Caenorhabditis elegans: one gene and its partner. The protein of the gene in region 1 purifies or fractionates together with the protein of each later gene. This does not show direct contact. Each region holds a gene or a part of one and is shown in the gene's direction. Other genes may lie near its edges.

What was found.
Region 2: the proteins of dep-1 (region 1) and puf-12 purify together in Caenorhabditis elegans (affinity purification with mass spectrometry, with the first as the bait; one large-scale study listed by BioGRID). This does not show direct contact.

Annotation. Positions count from the first base shown.
Region 1 is NC_003280.10:9,016,666-9,024,108, reverse strand, and holds the start of dep-1 (Receptor-type tyrosine-protein phosphatase dep-1), read left to right. Parts: upstream 1-4,310; 5' UTR 4,311-4,341; coding exon 4,342-4,568; intron 4,569-4,628; coding exon 4,629-4,727; intron 4,728-5,192; coding exon 5,193-5,355; intron 5,356-5,399; coding exon 5,400-5,595; intron 5,596-5,640; coding exon 5,641-5,783; intron 5,784-5,943; coding exon 5,944-6,102; intron 6,103-6,230; coding exon 6,231-6,385; intron 6,386-6,431; coding exon 6,432-6,579; intron 6,580-6,659; coding exon 6,660-7,311; intron 7,312-7,356; coding exon 7,357-7,443.
Region 2 is NC_003280.10:10,096,590-10,104,032, forward strand, and holds puf-12 (Pumilio domain-containing protein 12), read left to right. Parts: upstream 1-3,720; 5' UTR 3,721-3,739; coding exon 3,740-3,859; intron 3,860-3,909; coding exon 3,910-4,212; intron 4,213-4,259; coding exon 4,260-4,764; intron 4,765-4,816; coding exon 4,817-5,076; intron 5,077-5,122; coding exon 5,123-5,822; intron 5,823-5,869; coding exon 5,870-6,282; 3' UTR 6,283-6,472; downstream 6,473-7,443. Other genes in the region: lact-2 (Beta-lactamase domain-containing protein 2), read left to right, coding at 330-624, 1,165-1,827, 1,876-2,100; pas-7 (Proteasome subunit alpha type-3), read right to left, coding at 2,418-2,987, 3,033-3,145, 3,195-3,264; putative RING finger protein ZK945.4, read right to left, coding at 6,524-6,780, 6,829-6,908, 6,953-7,016, 7,064-7,159, 7,208-7,443.

The DNA of each region.
Region 1 (7,443 bases):
CGTTTTTCAAGGAAAGTAAAACTTGTTTAGAATCAGATATATTTCCGCTCCAAGATAAGTGACTTCGCCAGTTCTAAGCTCTCACTGCCACACCTTTAATCTCATAACACTTCCCATACTTTTTGTAACAAGAACTAGTGAAGTTCTCTGGGATAGTCTCCCAACCTACATCTTTCGTTTTTCCGGTTTTCTTTTTCTCTCACTTTTTGATAATGTCTTTCTTAATGTCAAAACACCATCTGGACGCATAGTCTGGGATCTTTTGAACACTTCTTTTTTTTAAAAGGCGGCGACACCTTTCTCTTTTTCCCAAAACGAACACCTAACAATTAGGTCATTTTGGAAACAATGCTTTTATTTCCGAATCCAGCCTCTTCTCTCTTTTCAATCATTCTGATTAGGTTGTGACCCATTCTAAACGGCAACCGTAATCCCTTTTGTTTCACTCAAATCTCCGCATGTTCCTGTTGTTAATGCTTCTTCTGTTTGACCGTTTCCTAATCATTTTCCAATCAAGTTGCTCATTCCTTTAGTCTCTCTGTTCCATTCCCCATTCTCCCCCCGTTCGTACCGAAATTTCTGTGTATATTTGTGTCTCCTATATTTGAATATAGTGGACACGTAGATAGAATGAAAGACGTAGAGGTCACAGACAATTCCCACAAACACTTTACGAGCCGACCACCCACCTAACCCGAAAGCTACAGAGACACAATAAACGAAAACTCGTCATTACTCTGTACTTTTGTTTCTTTTCTTATTATTACTCAATTATTTGTTAGACTGCCTGCGCATCCCTACTCTCTTTTCAAGAAATCTCTCACAAATTCCTCCGTTCTTTTCACATCAGCTTCTGGATGAGTTTCTGAAAAAAAAACACCAGGTTGTGCCCTATTTCTTTTTGGTTCACAATTATAAGATTGCTCCAAAAGTAGTTTTTCAAATTAAATATGTTTATTGCTATTTTCTCATGTGGAACTCCTGGAGATAACTAGAAATTTGTTCTTTTTAAAAAATGCAGGGTTCGACTAGATGAAATATAATTTCAAAAAATCAAGGCTGATTTTATTTGTTTCAAAGTTGTCATCATGGCATAGATTTTCGTTTATTTATCAAGCAATATCAAAAGGTTAATTCAATATTTATTTGAATACGGGACAAAAACAGTCTAGCTTTCTTCACTTCACAATCTTTCAATTTTTAAAATTGAGCTGAAATCTTCATTTTGAAAATTAACTTTTTACATTATGCTTGCACAATATGTATTTTTCCAAAGAGTCTTCCCGAATTCATTCTAGATAAGCGTCTTAAAATTGTTTCAAAAGAAACTAGACTATATTTCGATCATTCAAAAAGCCAATCAAGTAAATCCCGGAACAGATCCATTCTTTCCAACGAGCTCTCAAAAAGAGCATCTCTTCGGTCAGTCGGTCTTTATTTGCGTATGCACTTTTTCTTATCGTCAAAACGTTTTCTCTCACTTCTCATCTTTTTATTTTATTTTGATGATTTGTTTTGTTTTCTTGAAGGGTTTAGACTTTATTACTTAAACTATTTTTATATTAAAAGCAATTATTTTTGTGCCAATTTTAACTCAAACAAAGCCCATAAGATCGGTTTCACTTTCAAATATCTTTTGTCTAAATAATATTGAAAAGTTTCAATTCTAATTAATTTGTTTAATTACATAATTTTGTTTTAATCTTTTTACATTTCCGGAAAATATTATTTCCATTGCCTGAATGTGCCATAGTACCGAAAATTTCCGAGACCATTAAATTTAGAAATGGCCGGTTATTGAAAAAAGCCAAATACTTTTAAAACCGACAACTGCCGTAAATTCCCAGTTGCTCAATATCTCCAAAACCGGCAATTTCCAAAACTGCCGATCTCTAAAATTTTTGATTGGCTCAAACACAAAGCTCAAAAACATTTACTTAAAGTCGCTGCCACAAAATTACTTACCTGTACTTTGAATGTAACTATTTCTTCCATTTCTCTCAATTTATCCAACTCCTTTCAAATTACCTACGCCAATACCTTCCTGTCCTTTTTCACTTACTGACTAATCGTTGCTTACCGTCCTTATTCCTAGCGACCCCTTGAATAGATTCCAGCTGCCTATGCATCCAACCTGTTTCCTTCTCTTTCTTTCCCCATCTCTATACCATTTCGATTCGTTTCCAACACGTCAGTATCAATTACCGTATAGGACTTTTTGGTGGGACGAGTGTGATGTGGTGAATGATTCAAAACATAAACATTCAAGAATTGTTGCCTTTTAAACAACAGTAATCCGTTTTTGTGGATTAGATCCTCGTATTGCCTTGAGAAATGAATAGAAAAATAAACTATTGTGTTTATGCGTTCCTTCATTCTTTCTTTTCTTCTAACATCTATTATTATAAACAATCAGAGGGAGGGGATGACCGCAAGATGCTCGTAAATCTTCACTCTTCATTCGGGTCATTTTCTTCATTTCCTTACATCTTCCGGCATCTTCTTGGCTCATTTGATACTTCTCATATTTCTTCATTACTACAAAAATTTGATCTCTCGTATCTAAATCATGAAATTCTTCTTTGCAAATTTGTAATCTTAGGTTTTTACGCTATACCCCTTAATACCTCTGGAATTTCCAAAAAGACATAGACAGTCCCAAATTAGATTATTGCACAGAACTGTACGTTTTGGTGCAAAAACAAATTCTGAAAATATTTCTGTCTGCAGTATACTATATTATTTTAATTTAATTTGTTATTTTTCTTACGAAAATCCATTTTATTTCTGAAAAAATACAGTGGCGCCAAACTTTCAGAAATCGTTTTTTCTGAAATAGCTGTTGACCTATAGAATATGGTGTCAAGTGAAAATAAATTATGGTACCTAATTCCCAGTTCCCACCAGTTACCTTGAGAAAATGTTAATTTGCGCTTCAGCGCATCGTAGCCGCCAGCCTCATCTCCTGAATCGTTACCTCGTTATAACTGTAGGTCAGTAAAAGTAGATTCTTCATACCCTGGATCTTCAGAGACTTTAACTTAATCCTCTGAACTTTACAAAATACGACTCTGTGCGTTTCCCGATGTTATTGTCACCTTGAAGTAGATGAATGGCATCTTCGTTTTGGCGACACAAGGAGTACTTGACTATATGGCATCGTCGGATGTCTGCGTCTCTTCGACGTCCTTGACACTCATCTCGGCACCGTCTTCTTGCTGCTTTCCCGCCACTCCACAGGAGACAGACACCAATCCGTTTTCTCCCCCCAAAAACCACAGTTTTGTGCGAACTGAACAATCCACATACAAAGATGCATACAACTAAGTGAGGACATCCTTCTTTGTCCCTTCTACTATACCATTTTTAAATCTTAAAGATTTATTCAAACATATCTACCGTACTCTTTCTGATTGAACTCGAAATCTGACTCAGCTCATATTTCGATGTTTTTGGTTACATTATCGTATTTCTGATAAATTATGGTATTTTAAATCTTTTCAAAAAACTAGACATTCTCGAACCACCATTTGCCAAAAGTTTTTTCTTGAAACATTTTTCCTAAAGGTACCTTTTTTTTACAAATTCGGTCATTAATTCTTTGATCAATCCAGGATGACTCATGAATGTATTTTCTGGTTTTCTCCTTCGCATTTCTAATGTGATTCAAATTGGAACAATTGACTTTTTGAATTTTAAATTTTCAAACAACATTTCTCCTCCTCTATTATTGAACATGCATTTTATTTTAAAAAACATATTTATTCTATGAATTCTACCATTTCCATCCTTGTCATTATGATGATGATTGTTCCATATTACCAGTTTCTTCTTCTAACCAGAATTACTCTTCAAGCTTCTCTTTGTTCCGTCAACAGTTGAAGCCTCACTTGACATCTTCCAATACCTGTCTCAGTAGTTGCTTAATAACTTTATTTTCAAAATAAAAATCTTCAAATTTGTTTTTGAGGAATTTTTCCTAAACTTTAAAAATTCTGAATCTGAAAAAAGCTCTCTACTTTTTCCCTCAACTTATCTCAAATTTCTTTGCAATCATCAAAGCGGCCATTGGGTCAAACGTAAAACATGATGACCCTATTTTCCCCTTGAACCCTCATATTTTTCTTGCTAATTGGAAAGTTCGCAAGACACTTCTGAAGTGATAAACTACTCTCTCTTCCGAATCTTTTCAATTCCGACGGTCAATTCGATCACTTTCCCTCTCAATCTTGTGTTTCTTGTCATTGTCATTTTCTTTCTTGTCATTTTGACCTTCTTTTCGAATTGCTTCATCTATCTATTCCCTTTTATTCAACTTTTTTTATTTTTTTGGATCATGAAATGATACGCTGGAAGTACGAACTACACTCTCTCATATGGCTATTTCTCGTGCTGCACCTCTCGAAATGTCAATCAGATTCACTGACAACATCGGCTGAGCAGCACGAGTTATTTGCCATCAAGAAGGATTCCTTATCGCCTTGGTCACAGATTCTTGTTTCATTACCAAGACGGCATCCATTGTATCAAAGTTTTGCCGCCAAGATTCAAGATGTCACTGAGAATATGTGAGTTTTTAATCAAGATTTTCAATAGAATTTTTTAAAATTAATTATTTGTGGTTTCAGTTCGGACGAAGTCAGAGATTCCAACAAAACATTCGTTTCTTCCGATGATGCTCCGTATAGTATTCGAATACATGCTCTTCGTGCCGGACATCGTTATTCGTAAGTTTGTTTTAACTATGCAGAAAATTAGAAGGAAATAAAAATTCCAAATAAAAAATTCATCTTCTGAGACACAGTTTAATGTTCTCGCAATTTGGCGCTTTCGTAAAGCGTTTTCCCAAATCTTGCCAATTTTGAAAACTAATATACGTTTTTGGGAGAACTGCTATTGTTAACTGATATTCAATTATTCGAAAAAATTCCACCTGTTCTGGCTACTTCAGCTTACAAAACAATAACTAAAGTTTCATTTTCTTTATAAAATGCTATCGATTAATTCACAACTCTGTTCTGTAAGTGTTTGGAAATGTTTGTTTAACATGGAATTTTGAAGTAAACATTTTTGTAGATTTAAAGTTTATGTAATTGTAGTTCAGATTAATTTTTGTATTCCAAAGAGAAGTACAACTGAACATTTAGTTTGTATTTTCCAACAACAATATATCTATAGGATAATTATTTCAGAATTGCCATTCACGGTCAAAAGGATGGATCAACTTCTCTGATAAAAGAAGAATCAGTTGTAATGGATCCGAGAGCGCCAGACTTTCGATCCATGGATTCTGATATTCAAGTCGCTGAGCACAACATCACAATGAGAACAATTAAAAATGATTCTTATCTTCAAGTAAGAATACCTTACCATTTTAGATGCAATGCTCATAATTTCAGGATTCGTTCTCAATTGAATATCGACAAATAAATCCGGACAAGAAATTTCCAGTTCTCCAAATTCTCGACATCCCGGAGCAGAAAAATTTGGAATTTTACCTTGGAAATTTGAATTCTGGATTTGATTATTCAGTTCGAGTAATTGCGCATAAAGACGGAATGAGTAGTAGACCATGGATATCAACTCTTACTACAAGTTAGTTATTGAAAGTTGTTTCAAATATTATTGAAAAAATTTCAGAGCCATCGCCATTGAAAGAAGTGAATATTAATCAAAACGCTGGATCGTGTGTGGAAGTTTCATGGCAAAATGATGAATTCAGTGGAGCTGATTTTTATACAATTCAATATTCACTTCAATCAACTCCTAACAACTCAACAAATGTAAGTCATATTAAAGGTTTCAAGAAAGGAAAAATATATATCTTAACTACAAAGGAAACTCGTCTCAAACGTGACTCAAATTTCTTTCGAAAGTCAAAAAATTAGTTATATTTGAATGTTCTTCCCGACTACTTTTCAAATATGAATTTTTCATTTTCAGATGACAATTCCATCAACAGAATCTTCCATATCAATATGTGATTCAATGTTGCAAGGAGAAGCATATCAAATTATTGCGACTGTTCAAAAAGGCGGTCAAGTCTCTGAACCACTGATCACAAAGTTTCAGCTTCGTCCCCTTCCACCAATTGACTTTAGAGTGAGTTTTATTTGTTTATTTCTTGTCAACCATTCAAATTTTCAAAAAAAGCAATCAATTACTGAGAAAAATCAAAATATAAGACTGTTTTAAAGATTAATTTAAAATTTCTTATTTCCGATTTTTAGGTTCGTGCTGATTTGAAACGTGGAAAGTACAAACTTCTTGCGGAGCTACCAACGTCGTCTAAAATTGATAAGTGTCAGATAACAGTTGCTGGAGATGAAGCTGAAAGATCAGTCAATTACGCGAATATTGAACAAACTAAATCTGGACACAAAATGTGAGTTATAGGAAATGCGCTCTTAATTTAATATTTTATATTTTAGATGCTGGTTTAACTTTGCACTTTCACCGGGAGAACGTTTCGATTTTTCGATTTCTTCGATGGCAAATGAGTCTGCAAGTCAGAAACTTCAGAAGAGCATCGTGCTCACACCAGCTTTTGATTTCAATGCATTTGGATTAACACTGCAGGTAAACTTTCTAGTTTTAATAAATAAAAATTTAATTTGTTCTCAAATTTTTTATTTAAATACAAATATATAATTTTTCAGGAATCGAACGGAGGAATTGAATTGATATGGCCGAAAAGTGAGGTTTTTATGACACGTGTCAAAGATATTTGGAACAAAGTAGTTGGAGCGGAAAGTCTTTTGAATATGAGAATAACTCCAATTGGAAACAATGATGAGACAGATAAAACTCTAAAGTTTGAAACATCTCCAAAAAATATAGATCCCGTATTCGCGAAGAATCTTGTAAAAGGAGCATGCTATCGTGTTCAACTATTCACTGTTACAAAAACTGGAATAATATCTGAGACACGTCACAATGAAACAATTCGAATGTCAAGTCCAGCAGTGAATGTTTCATTGGAAAGTGTTACAAGGTCATCTGCAACTCTTCGAATTGTATTTTCAACTCATCACGATTCCACATCCATATCAAATTGTCAAATGCATATTGTTGTACGAGATATGAATGGGAAAAGTGTTTTCGATAAGAGAATGCAACTCACTGCAACATTTGCTCCATTGCTCAATTTGGATGGATTAAGCCCATTTCACAAGTATACAGTAAATACACAAATTATATGTGGAAGTGGAAGCAGTGAGACTCCACAGTGTCCAGCGGCTACAAGGACAATGAGGCAATTGTCGTTTTCTACGAGACAGGATAAACCAGCGGCTGTGCAAGATCTGAAAGGTTGGTTTAAAAAAAATTGGCATTTAAACTAAGTATTTATTTCAGTTGAACCATTGAATTCTTACTCAGTGATGCTCACGTGGCTTCCACCAGCACTTCCAAATGGAATTCTAACGCATTACGCAGTTAATG
Region 2 (7,443 bases), 1.1 Mb from region 1:
ATATTTGGTGATATTTTTAGATACTTTCTAAAAATTTTCAGCGCACCTTTGGACTCGACTCCATGAATTTCATAGAATCCAATTTTTGTGACTGATCTCTAGAAGCGTCTTTTAGAAACATTTCCCTATGACTATAAACTACACTTTCTTCCTGACAAGGTCATACATCTCACTCTCTTTTCCACCAAATTATCCTCCACCATCTTGCGTCTTTTTTGCAAAGAAAGTGAGAAGCAAAGTGAACAGTGTAAACAAAAAGCTATTCATTCACAATTCAATTCAAAAACCAATTCTTCTTCAATTCAATGCCACCCTTCTTTCGATTTCAGACGAAACTTTGCCGATGGTTGGGAACGTGAGGGTGCGTCGATTACCGTATACCACAAGGATCGGGTGATTGTGGATCTTCAAGGCGGGTATGCGGACAAGGCGTCGGGCAGGAAATGGACCCCTGACACGAGAACAGTCGTGTTCAGTACAACGAAAGCTGTTGGAGCAGTCTGTGTGGCAATGTTGGTTGATCGAGGTCACATCAGTTATGATGACAAGATGAGCAAGATCTGGCCAGAGTTTGCACAAAATGGGAAGGAGAATATCACAATCGATTGGTTAATGTCACACAGAGTATGTTTAATCTTTTTGGTTTCTAAATCTAACTCGAGGTCCAAAAAATTCTTAGGCAGCGCTGCCTAAGAATTGCCGGCATCAATAATTAGAAACGTTTGAAGTTAAGGTTTTGCCGCTAATGCCTAACGAGACCCAGCTTTTGGGAGAGGAGCGTTATAATTTAGCCTTGGAGCGCAATTCCACCTCGATTTAAAACATGCATTTTTCTGCGTCTCCATAATATATGGAAAACTGTGAGCTCACTCCAAAGGAACTCATTTTTTAAAAGCTCTTTTCTAGTGGAAACGAGACAATAGGTGCTAAATTTTCAATTGTAAATCCTGGTTTTCTCTGTGCACTTTAAAATTCGAAACTTTATCAACTACATTTTCAATATGAAACGAAAAAATTTGTTAAATTTGGAGCCTGTAGCGGTTACTGTAACTGAGATCGTGGCGAGACCCAATGGGAAAAAGGCGGCGCCAGAAAATCGCAATGCAATAATAAATTATAAAAATTCGCATGCTGAATCACATTCAAGTAAATTCTTAATTCCAGGCAGGTCTTGCTGCACTCGATATGCCAATAACCATCGAAGACGCCAACGATTTCGAGAAAATGAGTGAAGTCATCGCATCACAAAAACCAAACTGGGAACCTGGAACTAAATCTGGATATCATGCAATTACTTACGGATGGATCGTTGATCAAATCGTTCGACGCTCCGATCCGAAAGGTCGATCAGTTGGACGATTCTTCAAAGAAGAAGTCGCCGATGTTCACGGAATCGACTTTCATATTGGATTACCGCCAAGCGAAGAGCATACCGTATCCCGTCTTTCAATGCCGTCCACACTTCATCTCGTTCGGGAGATTGTTCATGATCCACGTGTTCTGATTGTACTTGCAGTTTTTAATCTTCGACCACCAAATTCTATTGCAAGAAAGATTGCTGCAAATCCAACGTGGTTCAAGTTGGAACAGGATGTGAACACCTTTAATAATCCAACTCTACATGCTATGGAGCAAGTCGCTGCTCTTGGTATTACAAAGTCAAGAGATTTAGCTAGACTTTTCTCACTCGTACAACAAGGAAAACTGTTCTCTACTGAACTTCTAGAAAAGTTCCGTGCCCCCCAAGTTCAGGGGATTGATGAAGTTGTCATGACTCCTCTACCAAAAGGACATGGTTTCCTATACGAGAGACATCCAATGGGAGGGGTGAGCATCGTTTTAATAAATATAATAATAAATCAATTATTTTTTCAGAAAAAGTGGCTTGTTGGACATCCTGGTTACGGTGGCAGCACAGTAATGATGGATTTGGAAGATGGGATCACGATTGCCTACGTCTCGAATGGATTGAAAACTGGAATGGGAGAGCTTACGAGAACATACAGACATCTTCGAGATTCTGTATTTGAGTGCTTGGAGAAACAGAAGACTGGTCAAAGTGTGATGATCGAGGAAGCAGTTCAAGCAGTTGCCGCATAACTTAAAAAATTGTTGTTATCCTTGTTTGTACATAGCGCCATAATTTGGGACGGGTCTACTGCCCCCAGCGAATTGTGCATAAACATGTTTCTGGTTTGTCTGAATTTGTATTGAGAAAAATGGGTAATACCGGGAAACCGAAAAATAATGAACAGAAAAAGTTAAAAAAAAACATCCGGGTGCAAAAAGTTCTTCTTGAAGTCGGTGAGTCGGTTTGAAGTACAATAAAATGACTCGCCGAGCGCAAGAAGTTTACCAGGGCAGAAAGAAGAGAGCTGATAATAAATTAAAAATGTGAATAAATACACGAGAATGATTCAATCGTCCATGTCGTCCTCGTCAAGCTTGGCAATAGCCCATTCCTCGGCAGCAGTGACAACCTCGCTTGGAACTTCTTCGTACTTTCCGTTCGTCTGCTCACCGACCCATCCCATTTCGATTTGAACGTTTTTATCCTTGTTCTCGTCACGCACCACCATAATGATTCGAGCAGCTTCCTTCACGAGTTGATTCACATCCAGCTCCTCGATCTTCAGCTTCTCAATCTCAGCTTTTGCGGCTTGGCGATGTTTTCCGACAGCCCATGCCTTGTATTCATAGTTTAGACCTGATGGCTCCACAAGGAAAAGACGTCCTCCAGTTTGTTTGTTCCATGACATGAAGAAGGCTCCTGCTCCAAACGGACGACTAATGCCGAGAGTGTGAATGTGAATGTACTCAGCAACTGAGTTAGCAATATTCTGAATCGGCATTGGCTCACGGTAGTCTTTGAGCCACTTCATTGCTTCTCCGTAAGCATAGTTCTTCAGAGCGAAACCATCTGGATAGTTTCCAGCAACTGCGACACCAACATTGTCGTTCACGTTAAACATTCTTGGATTAGCGTTCTGAAAATTATAGATAAAATCTTGAAAATCTCTTAAATTACTCACATCAGTGTAAAGTTTGGAAGAGATCAGCTTGTCAGCAACGACCACAACTCCGTTCTTGCCACGAATTGCAATCATTGTTCCTGCATTGTCGACAGCCTTTTGAGCGTACTCGACTGAAAACGAGATTATGAGTATTTTGAACAAAGCAAAATCGAAACAAACCTTGGAAAATTCTGCCATCAGGAGAAAAAGTAGAGGCGGCGAGATCGTAGCCGGTACCGATTGAACTCATTCTGCAAAATAAAAACTATGTTAACACATATATGATTGCAACTGGTACGTGTTTTATTTCTGCGGAAATCAGAAGAACCGTTAAAATTTAATATTTAATAATTCGTTTATTTGAATGCGTTAAAAATAGTAGAATTATTGCGAAAATAAAAGCTGATAATCTGAAAATGGCAGCTAAATGGAAATAAAATTTCAAATGATGATTTTCCAATGTCGATTTACGGGAGAGACGAACATTGCGGCAGGTCTCGCAACGACGAAGAAGAGAGTGTGTAAATTGAGAGACGTCAGAAGACAACATGCGCCTTTAACATTTTCTTTTCATTTTTCTTTACTTTTTCGTAACTTTTTGTTACTATTTTGAAGCTGTGCAATTTGTTTCCAAAGTAAAAATCGCTTAAACCTCACATAAAATTGTCTTGTGTTTATTACTCCTTTTAATATGCGTGTCTTTCAGAGAAATCTCGCGGGTAAAAATGGTGAAACTCGACGACAAAAATAAAAAATTCAAAGGGAAGAAGAAGGTTAAAAATGTGTTGGAGAAAAAGGCAAAAGGATTAAAACTCAACAAAGTAGACAGAAAGCGAATTGTTAAGGTTTGTTAAATTACTTCATTTTGTAAATAATTTTTTGTGAAATATTTCAGATTGAAGAAAAAGCAGCGTTAAAAAGCAAAGTAGACAAAGCTGTGAAGGACGAGTTGGAAAGGTTGAAAAAGTCATCTTCAACATCAGTTTTTGATAATGATGGGACTCGTGACTCTTTGTGCTCGGAGTCTTCGTTCGGAAGCCAGCCAGCACCGAAAAAGAAATCGAAAAAAGTGCTTTTCTCAGGAGAACTTGAACATGTTAAGGTTTTCGATAAGCGAGTTCAGGATCTTCAAATCAAACCATCAGAGGCATCTCCAGGAAGAGGAATTCTCAGATCCCCTCTTGATAAGAAGGTTAAGGTTTGTTAATTCAATATATCGTCTTTTACACAATTGTTTTTTTTCAGAAACTTGCCAAAGTGAAGACTGTCAAAGTTGCTCAGGAAGAAGAAGAAGAGCATTCCGCTCCCCCAAAGAAAAAAGTGAAGGTTAATGCAGAGAAAGCCGTTGCTTCTGAGCCAGCAGACGATGAAAATTTGGAATCTGTCGACGAACAAGCAGGTGGAGATGAATCTCATATTGACATTCCAACTCTAAAGAGAAAGAGAGTAGCTATTCAAGTCACAAAGTCTGTTAAAGAACAATTGCTGAATATGCCGAGAAAAGAAAGAAAAGCATTTTTGAAGGAGTTGAAATTGAAGAGAAAACCTGAAGGAGCTCGTGCTCAAAAATGCAAGGAACTTTGGGAAAAGATCAGAATGGGAAAGACGCCAAAAGCTGAAAAGGATACTGCGGTTCACGAGTTGTATGGTCTTGTAAAAGGACACGCTGCCAAGCTGATCTATGCTCACGACACCAGCAGAGTTATCGAATGTCTTGTTGCCACTGAAAGAGAAGGAATCATTAACAACTGTAAGTTTTTTGAAGGTTCCCATGAATAATTACGAGAACATAATTATTGCAGTGTTCAACGAATTAACCCCAGAAATAGTGAGGATGTCAAAGAACGTCTATTCCAAATTTTTCGTCAAGAAAATGTTGAAGAATGGAACTAAAGAACAACGTGATATTATCATTAATGCATTCCGCGGACATGCTCCAACCCTGCTCAGAATCAAACATGCTGCCGAAGTTCTTGAATATGCTTACAATGACTTCGCTAATGCCCATCAGCGTTACAACATCATTACTGAATTTTATGGAAAAGAATTCATTTTGTTCAGAGTAAACAACATTCAATTAAGCTCTAAAAATAGTTTGTTGATTTCAGGAAGACAATATCAGATCTCTGACGGAGATTCTCGCTGAAAAGCCGGAAAAGAAGGTTGTGATTTTGAAGCATTTGGACGAGGTTATTGGAGCAGTGAATGAAAAAGAAACTTTGCGACTTTCAATTCTGCACAAACTTATGCTCGACTTTTTCGATAATTGCGACGAGGAAAAGAAAATCAATCTCCTTGATTCACTGAAAGATAAAATTCCCGAGTTCATTCATACTCCAGATGGTGCCAAATTGGCTATTAAACTCATTTGGTTTGCTCCAGTCAAGGAAAGAAAATTGATCGTCAAGAATTTCAAGGATTTGTCAGTAAAAGCCGCAATGGAACATTACGGACATCGTGTTCTTCTTGCACTTTTTGATACTGTCGACGATACTGTTCTTCTCAATAAGGTTATTGTCTCCGAGTTGGCAAATGAAATGAAGAAGTTGATCGAAGATGATTGGGGAGAGAAAGTTATCCACTATTTGGTGCATCCAAGAGATGGAAGAGGAATCGACAAAAGAGAAATTACATTCCTTGCCGAAGGTGATAGCAATCCACACTCGAAGAAAACTCAAAAGGATAGATATGGACAGTTGTACGCCGGTATTACCGAGAACTTGTATCCTTATTTGGCTGCTAACTTCGAAGAGCTTGTTTTCGAGGCCAACAAGTCAAAATTCGTGGCTGCATGTCTCGAAACCACCTGTAAGTTTAAAAGTTGCACAATTATAAAGAATTCGAGTTTTTTTCAGCAAGCTTCGATTTGTTCGATCGACAAGTCCCAGCAGAAGCTCGCAAGAGTTGCAACCAAGCGATCGTTGAATTGGCGAAGAAGGACTTTGTACCAATGGACCAGGAAGGCTTCCACATTATTGAACACCAATCGGGCAATTTCATTCTCATGGCAGTCATGCGCTGTGATGCCGCTCTACAAGAAGATGAACGTTTGTCAGTTGCATTGGCAGAAGGACTTACGAGCAAGCAGCTTGGCTCGTGGGTGACTTGCAATCGCGGTTGCCATGTTCTCTTGAAAATGCTTCAAGTTGGAGGACCGAAAGTTATTGAAAAATTGAAGGCTTCGATCAGCAGAAAACACTTGGATGGCTATAACTCAAAAGGAGCAAATCTTCTGAAGGCACAGCTCGACGGAAATGTCAAGAAGTGAGAATGCAAGGTATACGAATTAATTTTTGTTGATTTTATTTGTTTTGAGGGATTCGTCCTATACATCTCTAAATACCACACCTTTTTATTGTTCTCGTTATTTTGTTGTTGACTTTTTTTTTATTACTTTTTGCATCTCGTTAATTTTTTGAAACACCGTACGGTAATAAAAAGGAAAAATATAAAAAAAACGTTGTAAAAACACAGAATTGAGATCATAATAACAGTGTGCAATTATAATTTTAGATTATTGATTCATTAACAATTTTCTCGATATCCTCGCTTCGGTCGACATTTACGACAACGGTGATTTTTGGCATTTTGTTATGGAGATCCGCCAGCTTAGTGAGAAAATTCGATGCAGCTTCGCCATGTCCACGAGAATAGCTTTTCAGACCAACAATTATTTTTTCATATGCTACAGCTTCTTCCAACTGCTCCAGAGCGACAAAGTATCGATCACGATCACCATCGAGCAGATCAACTATCATTATTAAGCCTTAATCTTTCAGTTTTCAGATGACGCAACAATTATCGAAAAACTCACGCAATCCTTCAGAATAAATCGTAAGATCTTCAGTTCTGTCAATGATTTCTAAAAAGTCGCAATTATAACGAAGAATGTTTCTGTAAATTGAAGAAATTGTAGAATAACTAAATAATAGACTTACGATCGGGACGAAATTCGAGTGCTGTGGTTTTCGATGAACTTTCTCACTTCGTTTCGGTGACACTCTGAAATAAGAAAAACGGAAATTTGTTGAATTTCCGAAAAGAAATACCTCGAATTTCCAATCTAAATGCCGGTATCATCTCAATTTGCAATGGACGTTGTGATAGAACATGAACAATACACGTCGAGCAGTCAGCCAGGAACTCTATAAAATAAATTACAGATCTTAAACTCTTTAGATAAAGCTCAATACCAGGTCTTCTGACAGCTGAATCCTTTTCAATCCGCTTCACAGTCACTTCAAGTTCCCACTTTCGCTGAACAAGCTTCATATTCGGCAGAGCCGACAGTTTCACAATGGCATCCTTATTTTTCTGCAGCCAATCGAGATCCAGCTTCTGGTTGGAGATTTTATACTCGAGGACTCGGACTCTTTTCACCACCTCGTTCTCCAATACTTTGATTGCTTGATCCATTTCTCCCATTTCA